2 linked regions of the Nothobranchius furzeri genome follow. The protein of the gene in region 1 purifies or fractionates together with the protein of each later gene. This does not show direct contact. Links are inferred from orthologs where the notes say so. Each region holds a gene or a part of one and is shown in the gene's direction. Other genes may lie near its edges. The genes, in order: map3k2 and traf7.

What was found.
Region 2: the proteins of map3k2 (region 1) and traf7 purify together in Homo sapiens (affinity purification with mass spectrometry; 3 studies listed by BioGRID and IntAct, with this or other methods). This does not show direct contact. The link is inferred for Nothobranchius furzeri from reciprocal best matches to the Homo sapiens genes MAP3K2 and TRAF7.

Annotation. Positions count from the first base shown.
Region 1 is NC_091743.1:83,211,100-83,215,654, reverse strand, and holds the start of map3k2 (mitogen-activated protein kinase kinase kinase 2), read left to right. Parts: upstream 1-1,678; 5' UTR 1,679-2,518; intron 2,519-3,749; 5' UTR 3,750-3,767; coding exon 3,768-3,822; intron 3,823-4,079; coding exon 4,080-4,198; intron 4,199-4,333; coding exon 4,334-4,374; intron 4,375-4,451; coding exon 4,452-4,551; intron 4,552-4,555. Other genes in the region: sumo1 (small ubiquitin-related modifier 1), read right to left, coding at 80-91. UniProt on the Homo sapiens protein: Component of a protein kinase signal transduction cascade. Regulates the JNK and ERK5 pathways by phosphorylating and activating MAP2K5 and MAP2K7. Plays a role in caveolae kiss-and-run dynamics.
Region 2 is NC_091752.1:71,713,864-71,718,211, reverse strand, and holds the start of traf7 (E3 ubiquitin-protein ligase TRAF7), read left to right. Parts: upstream 1-1,441; 5' UTR 1,442-1,564; intron 1,565-4,348. UniProt on the Homo sapiens protein: E3 ubiquitin and SUMO-protein ligase that plays a role in different biological processes such as innate immunity, inflammation or apoptosis. Potentiates MAP3K3-mediated activation of JUN/AP1 and DDIT3 transcriptional regulators.

The DNA of each region.
Region 1 (4,555 bases):
AAAAAAACAATCAATTTGTGCGTCTTCTGAACAGTTCCGACAGAAGATTTGTTGTTTTCCACAAACACTGGGGTCTTACCGTGTCTGACATTTTCTTATTTTCTGTGTTTTGGCTCAAATTTCCTGACAATAGATGTACCTTCAGCTTTCCGCTGCAGCTCTCGTTAGATGTTATGGGAATTCGACATTAGCCGGAAGTGACGAAAAGACGTTTTTTCACAATAAAACTCCCTTCAGATTAGAGAAACAATAGTATTTTTTATATTTTTATGCTGTTGTTGCGCTTCTAATGAAAGCAGTGAACAACAAATATTTTTAAATAATATTTAGATAAAATGTTCAAACTATCAGAAGTAGCAATCATTGTCTAAAAGTAATTATAATCATTTGCTCATGTAAATTCAAACAAATTGCAATGAATAAAAAAGTCTAATAATCATTATTACTGCATTTATCTGAAAAATCATACAATGAGGCGCACGTTAATATGTTGATCCCATCGCAAGACACAGTTTTAGTGTTATTGATCTGAAGTGAGCGGTGTGTTTAAAATGTGATCAAATTAATTCCATCTTTTAGTTCTTTTTAAAACACAGAAAGATTTTATTTACCTGCAACGTTTCGTTTGCGGCTGCAAAACCCAGGTAAATAAAACCTTTCTGTGTTTAAAAAAACTAAAAGATGGAATTAGAATTTCAACACAGCAAGAACACACCAAAGATAATCAAACGAATTGTTCTTCTTGCAGCAGAATTTTGCTGTTTGGGAATATAAAGTGGTAAAATTATGCGTTGAATGCACATTTACACATAGTGTTTAATGAAACAATTTAAATTTTATCATAACATGACTGGATTTGACTGCAAATAACTGAACTAAATTGGAATTAATAGGGGTCAAGTTAATCACTACTGAATGAACTTGGACCAGCATGTAATCAATTCAATTCAATTCAAAAATACTTTATTAATCCCAGAGGGAAATTGATTGCTGTAGTAGATCAGAATAATAATAATAATCAAGCCATCAAAGATTTGTTGTATATTACAATGGCTGTTGGCAGGACGGATCTCCAGTAGCGGTCAGTGTTGCAGCGAAACTGAAGAAGCCTCTGACTGAAGACACTCTTCCGTTGTCGGACAGTCTTGTGAAGAGAACGCTCAGGGTTGTCCATAATTTTCTTGATTCTCTGGAGAATCCTTCTTTGCATTATCTCCTCCAGCGGTTCCCGAACAGCCGAAACTCTGGCTGAGTCCTTGAAAGGGCTTGGAGTTCCTCCATCTTGTTGACCAGTGATCTCACATTGCCCATTATGATCGATGGAAGAGATGGTTTGAATTTCCTCTCTCTCTGTGTCTCCGTTTTGCTCACGCTCTGCACCCACGCTTCTTGCATTTTAGCTCATTTGGGATTTGTGGCTTCAGTTGAGGTATTATTTCAGCCTTTCCAATGTTAATCAGCTGCTCCCGATTGTAAACCAGCTTGTTGCCATGGTTACACATCATAACAAATGCTCAAAAAGTGAAAAAAGCTAAAAAAAATAGCAGTAAAAATCCTCCAAGCTTCACAGCACCAGAAACAGAAAAGTAAAGTGTCCAAAAAATAGTTTTTCTTGAGAAACTAGAAGAAAAAATGCTAAAGAAAAGGCTAAACTTACATATAGTCAACAGAGCTACTCCAACATGCAGCCACCCAGAGCAGCGCAGTTCCGGAAAAAAAGTCACTGGAATGAATCAGATAATGAGTGGGCCTAGTGTGTTTGGAACAGCAAGTCACACTGGATGGCATTTGAATGACCTGAATTGACCTTGAGTATCGTTTGCTTTGAATTTAAATTATGAGGAAATGTGACTTGTCTAAACGGAAGCTTAATTTATACTATAAAACACTGTGTTTACAACTTATTTAATAAATTGGAACTGAAATGAAGCTCCAAACAAATGCTCAAAAATCTAATAAATATTTTTACTTGTCATGTTTGTATGATGTTTCTGTTGGACCCTCAGTGAGGTTAGGGGTTAACACTAGTTAAGCTTCTCAAAATAAAAGTACTTTCGGTTAACATTTGTTTCAAAATAAAACACAGAACGCCACTTTGCCTTCCACCACGAGACGTGCTGCTTTTATTTTATAAACACGGCGTAATTATTTCCGGTGTGTTTTTAATCGTACATGTTAGCTCGATGAAACTAGGGGTCAGCATCGAGCAAGGTACAGTTAAGCAGGCTGTGTAGCACAACAAAATGAGATCTGTGGATTGAATTAGCCTTTGAACTGTCGCACTGGAGTGTAGCGTGCCGAACATAATAAATATCACCCTGTCACTTCCCCTCCTGGAGAGACGAAGCGGCTGAACCAACAGCTACCGGGCCTCGTCGTCGTGGCCCAGCAAGACTCGAGTGAAGTTGACAGCGGACTGACAAACTTCTGCTTCCTCCAGCGGCTCTCCACAGGGCCCGGGGCTCCTGTCACCGGTCCTGTGGTTGAGGAAATAAACCGAGATTAAATTATTCATCAGGTGGGATTAGGCTGAAGACAAAAACAATCTCACTTCGTTCATGAACTGTTCCAATAATTGTGCAGCGCGGGCGAGTGCTGGTTAGCTCGGTTAGCCCAGCGGCTAGGAGTTAGCTTTAGCGTTTGATTAGCCTGATAACTTCCCTTGCCTGACAGCTAACAGTGGAGTCATTACCATTTCATCCCCCAAAACCTGCTGCTTAAACAACAAATTGTATTTTTCAAGAATTTCATGTCAAGATAGCAGCTATTTTGAAATGTTATCCTGGCATGAGTCGTAATGTAAAATTAGCTAGCAACAGTTGTTAACTTCCGGGGCTTATGGGTTACAAATACAGTTATCTTCTAAAGGCTTTAATAACAACAATACCATAAAGTAATTAAGGCAATATTCTTAATATTCTGAGAAATAATACCTGTGTGTATTTCTAGTTGGAATATTAGTGCATCTGCCGTTCCTTAAACGTTTTAACTGATTTAAAATTACAGGTTTGTGTTTTGTTTTTGCGTCAACACCAGCCAGCTTCTGTGTTAATGATGCCACTTTAGTGAAGAATTGCCAACACTATAATTGTCTGTGAAACTTGTGTTCAGGTGAACCTACAGAGGTTTCCATACATCTTTGAACACAATGAAACTGTATTTATTATAAAGCAGGTAGCTGCAGATGTAGTATTATAAGCTGTTTGGTAATAAAAACGGCCAAAAAGCCAGAAAACCTCTGAAGTCCATGTTAAGAATAGTTTCCATAAAGCATGTTATGTTTCTTGTTGCTTTTTGCAAACACACCTCCAAAATAAGCAACAGTAGAGCTTCTTGGACTCTACAGGTGAGTTAGGGTGTAAAAAAATGAGCTCATAACAGGATGAAATAAAAGAAGACAAGAATGCTCACTGCATTTAAAGGCAACCAAAAAAGTAACTTCACCCCCATATTTGTTGAGAAATAAGGATTTTTGGTTCTGCAAAAATCAAACCAAGTGACGCATACGATGAGCCAGTTTCAGTGTCATTCCTGAATTGGATCATAGGAACAAAACAATTTTCCACAAGATTTTGTTCCCTTAAAAGACATCAGAGCAAACATTTCCAATAATCCCCATTTATGCATTTTCTTTCTGCCTCTGGCTCACCAATTACAGATCTGCGGATCAGTCAGCAGCTCCATGCTTTCTAACTTGCGTCTTCATTAAACTGAATGCTATTATTTATCCAGTTGTGTTGCTGTTTCAGGAGAAAGGAATCCCTTTGATGGGAGAGTCTTCTATCCTGGCCTCCTGGGTCAATTGCCGTGCCATGATGATGGGTATGTGTGCGAGCTTTGTGATCATGTTACAGCTGGCAGAGAGCCAGCTGAGTCTTTTGTCTAAAAACTTAAATAATCTTTTTTTTCTGTAAACAATGTCTCTTTTTCTATTATGACATCTGTTTAAGCGACGAGTCATGAGCTCCTGCTGGGGCTCATTTGTTTTTATCTTTTAGGTTTGCGATTGTTAGCATAATGATCAAAGTGTCACTTGTTGCTGTGGATAATCTGTAAACCCGATTAATTTATCTTTGCAGATGAGCAGGAGGCCCTGAACTCCATCATGCAGGACTTGGCCGAACTGCAACGCTCCAGCCGCCCTGCTACCTTCCTGTCGGACCTAGGCAAACCCAAAGCCTCCTCGCCCAAGAACCAGGTAACCACAGAAATGTGATTTGGACATGAAGTGTGAGAAAAGCTCAACAAAGCAAACATGTTTCTGAGATCTCAAAATAAAACCCACGTCGTCGTCCCAATGGTTTTTATGCTCAACGTGACTTTGTCTCCACAGAATGATGTGAGAGTGAAGTTTGAATTTAAAGGAGAGAAAAGGTAAACATTTGTTCTCTAATGCTGTTCCTTCAGACCAGCAGCAGCTGCAGCCTTCTGACTTCTCATCTTCTCTGCAGGATCTTACAGTTTCCTCGACCCGTCAAGCTGGAAGATCTGAAGGCCAAAGCTAAAGTGGCTTTTGGTCAGACGATGGACCTTCATTACACCAACAATGAGGTAC
Region 2 (4,348 bases), on another chromosome or scaffold:
ACAGGCACCTGCACCAATGGTCCAGCAGGGGGCTGCAGGCCAGGGTGGAGACATGGGCCATGAGCGTCCTGTGGGACGCCAAAGAAGGCCGCCCGTGTGGACTAGGGACTATAAAATGGATTTTTAGGACTTGGGGACAAGTCCTCTCAGACATAACAGGGGGGAGTGTGATGCGGGGCGGGACATGCAGCCCCGGTGTGCAGCTGGACCCAGGTGCAGGCAATGATTGCAGTGATGAGGGCACAGTGGAGCTTAAAATGGGTTGTGAGTCAGTCTTTGGATGACAGAGGGAGTGACTGTTTCGAGTTGCTGGACACGGTACTCAGGTGATGGGGGAGGGGTCGATCGCAGCTGGTTAGGGCTGCCGGCGACGAAGATAGGTAGTGGGTGAGGTGAGTGTTTCCTGTGACAGGAGGGGAGGCTGGTTGCCTCCTGCAGTCAGTCAGAGGGGCTGTTAGACGGGCACCGTGGTCCGCGGCGCTCACTCCCCTTTATGCTCTGCGCTCCTACCGAGGAACATCAGGTCAGAGGAGCTAACTGGCCCGCCGCCAGCACGTTGATTCCTGGGGCGCTGGACGGCGTTGGAAGCTCAGACCCTGAGCGGGTCGCCCTGACTGGGCAAGTTAAAGCGCTTTTCTTTGTTGTATAAACAGAGTTTTAAAGGGAGGGTTGTGGGTTTCAGGCTTGCGTGATTTTTAATATTAACATTATAAATAAAGGTTGTTGTTGTTTAAAACCCTGGGACTGTGATTACTGAAAGGTTCTGACAAGGACAACATTTTTGTCCCTGCAACCCCCCCTCGATTTTACATTATTAAATAAATAAAGGAATAAAACAGCAGTGTCGCCCAAAATATGTTGAATCCACTTTCAGAAATGTTTACTTGGATACGTAGTTTTTCTTTTTTTAGGTCACATTTTTATCTAATTTCTTTCAATTCAATTCAATTTTATTTATATAGCACCAAATCACGACAAGAGTCGTCTCAAGGCACTTCACATAATAAACATTCCAATTCAGGTCAGTTCATTAAGCCAATCAGAAATAATGTTTCCTATATAAGGAACCCAGCAGGTTGCATCAAGTCACCGACTTCCGACGATGACACCTTCTCATGTTTTTCCATCTAAAATAACTCCGATCCCTGGGTTCGGTGTGGTATCCCACAGACATGTCCGGGTTCGTTTTATGGCTTCAGCTTCCGCTTTGACTTCCGAACCTCTACCTGGTCCCGCTGCGAACACCTGAGCAGACCTGACAGACCCTCGCTGACTTCCAGATCTTCGCGGTTTTAATTATAAACCGGTGGGGTTTTTTAATGTCCGAAATCTGCGCGAAGACGGTTGCGCAATTTACAGGCAGCTCAGGCCATCGAGTCTAGCGAGCTCTGCGAACGGAACTGTGGGTAGTGTAGTGCGCGATCACAGAGGAACATCCCAGCGGCAGGGAACGTTCTACTACACATCCCAGAATGCACCCGGGCATTCGGAGTTGCGTGTGAAGTAAAAAGGAAGATTCAGACTCGTCTGCAGATCTGGAGCAGCGCCGGAGAGACAAACGATGGTCAGTTACCGAGGCTGTTCGAGCTGGTGTGGTAGAAAACACGTTCAACAAAGCCAGGCTGGTGTTCGCGGTTTCCGGTGGCTAGCAGAGTAGGTCAGACTGTCAGCGGCAGTGATTTCTGAGGAGGGCTGGAAATTAGCTTACCCAAGCTAGCAAAGCCACAGCAGCGGGAGTTTGTCACCAAGCTGCCCGCTGATGAGCGCGGTTTCTGTTTTAACGTGCAGATGCGCTGGACTCGGGTGTGTTTGTTGTCTGAAGGGTAAGCTAGCGAACTTTGGTTGTAAACGTTACGCCCCTTCTGCTCCATGAAGAGGAGGAGGAGGAGGTTTCCCTTTACGGGAACCTCCAGGCTTGCGTCAACAGCTGATCACAGATCCCGCAGGAGGTGATGGACCCGCATACCTTTCTGTTTACATCAGCATCTGCGTGTCCGGGACGGTCTCTCTGCCTGTCTAACCCTAAACCCGTCTTCCTGCACGTTTAGGTGTGAAGACATCAGCCACGGTTTATAAAAATTATCTTAAAACTCTCGTAGACGGGTTTCCACGTCCCAGATGGCTTTCCCCTTTACAGAAGAGAAGTAAAAACCTGAAATGTTGCTTCAGTGTGGGGCACCAGCGCCCAAAAGGGCTGATGAGGTAAAATACCGTAAATCCTCTAATACAGGCCCGGGCCTTTATTTACTCAGGCACATCCTGGTTCAGTCCTTGATTGGAAGGAGGCCAGAATTGGAGGCAGTCCTACATTTTAATTTGAGCAACAAAAACAAACAACAAGATTTTGTGTCTATATGAACCTATAAACACCAGGTTAGTTTATTAAAATGTACAGTTAAGTCTGTACGTACGTACGCTTATAGAGCATTTACAACAAACACCATTGTTTCAGGCTAAATCCCAGTATGGTAGCAAGCATGCCGGTAGTGTAAACACATGGTGATGATTAGGTTATTGATTCACAGCAAAAGACAACAGACGCCTTACCGTGTTAGCAGAGTGTCGTACGCAGCGGTCGGTCGAAATATCCCAAGTCCCAGGTTCAAAGGTAGGAAATAAACGATAGATACAGAGCTTCATGTTTCAATGGGCTTTCACTGGCGCTAGCACCTTTGTAGACAACAATGCTCCCCTTTTATTGGTGCATCTATGAGGTTAAAGGTCAACACACGTCTTTCATTGGTTACCTTATTATGATGTCATCCTCACTTCCTCTCATGTCCTTTTCACAATAAATCAGTCTTATTTACAGATATATATATACCGTAAATCCTCTAATATTAGCCTATATTTAATTAACGGCCGGGTATCACGTTTTGGCCGGTGTCGGAGTCGGCGGAGGTGAATAATGGCCGGTTTTTTATTGTGGCCGGGTGGAATGTGGTAACAAGCAAGTACGGGGGGCGGTTGTGTCATCCGTCTCACTTTTGATTTGCCAGTGAGTTACGTCTCCGACACGTGTTGGTAAAAATGTGAAGGATGGGGGTAACATAAGAACTGGCGGCAGAGTTTAAAATGGGTTTTTTCGTACAAAAGGTATTAAAACACAAGCAAACAGATCTCTCTAAAAGGTTAACATCACGAATTATCAACTATAAAAACACCTGGTAGAAACTTATATTAAGTTTACCGAAACGAAGGTGTTCTAAAAGCCCGAAGTTGATAAAAGTCCCAGACAATTTACTGATTAAAACACCTGGTAAAAGCTTATTTTAAAAGCTTTACTCACACGAAGGTGTTCAAAACCGAAGTCAGTAAAATTGCACAAACCAAAGTTAACCTTTACAAAAAAAACCGAGCACACAAAAGATCCCCCTGGATCATCCAAACTTTATCACCAAGAGTTAAAACTATCACAGTTTAAAACTCCAACAAATCCAAATGTGTCTAAACGAAAGGGGTTGAAAACACACAAAAACCAGGAGGACAGCAGAACCCCTGCACTGCTGCCTCCCAGACTGCTGAAGGCACAGCCCTTTTATGCAGGTGTTTGCTTCATCAGGTAGATTCAGTTCAGCTGTGCTCCTCAGCAGCCCGGGAGAGAGAAGGAGGGGCGGTGTCAGGCTGATTCACTGGAGCTTGGTGATCTTGGCTCCTGCTCCTCACTCAAGGCTGGCAGCCGCGAGGCTAGACCGCGAGGGTAACTTTAACCGTGCGGAGACGAAGAGGAGGCGAAAATTTGATATCAAGTTCAAAGAGAAGGTGCTGATTATGCTGCAGAACACTCTGGGGAGCAGTAGCAGGGGTTGTATGAACTAGTCACTAGTCGACTTCACCGCTCTATAGTGACTTGTTATGCCTGTCATCGACTAGTCGCTGTCACGTGATAATGACCGGCAAGATGCAGTCCATGGAAAAGACAGCAGCCTGCTGTCAGCAGGTGACAAGCTCCTGCACGTCGGGGGGCAACGCGCTGTGCCAGAGCGTCGGTACCGACACCCGCCGTCAAACTGACATTTAACCAAATTGTGACCTTTACCCTCTTGCAATTTAACCTTCCCCTCACCCCCATCCTAACCTTAACCAGCTTGTGCATGCAAAGCTCTGATTGTTGACGCGCTCCAGACATCTGCGTCCTGAGCATGGCCACAGTAACATTATCACATCAGGTGTCGCCACCTCAAAAACTAATTTAACACGCGATCGTTCATGTCGGCTCATTTCCTTTTATGTTTTCTGTCTTTTATTCTTTTATTTGTGCCTGATGCGTTTCGCTGCTGTGGATCGGGGTGCATCACCTGTTATGTCCTCTGGTGACGCAACTGATGTGGTCGGCGACCACTCCACT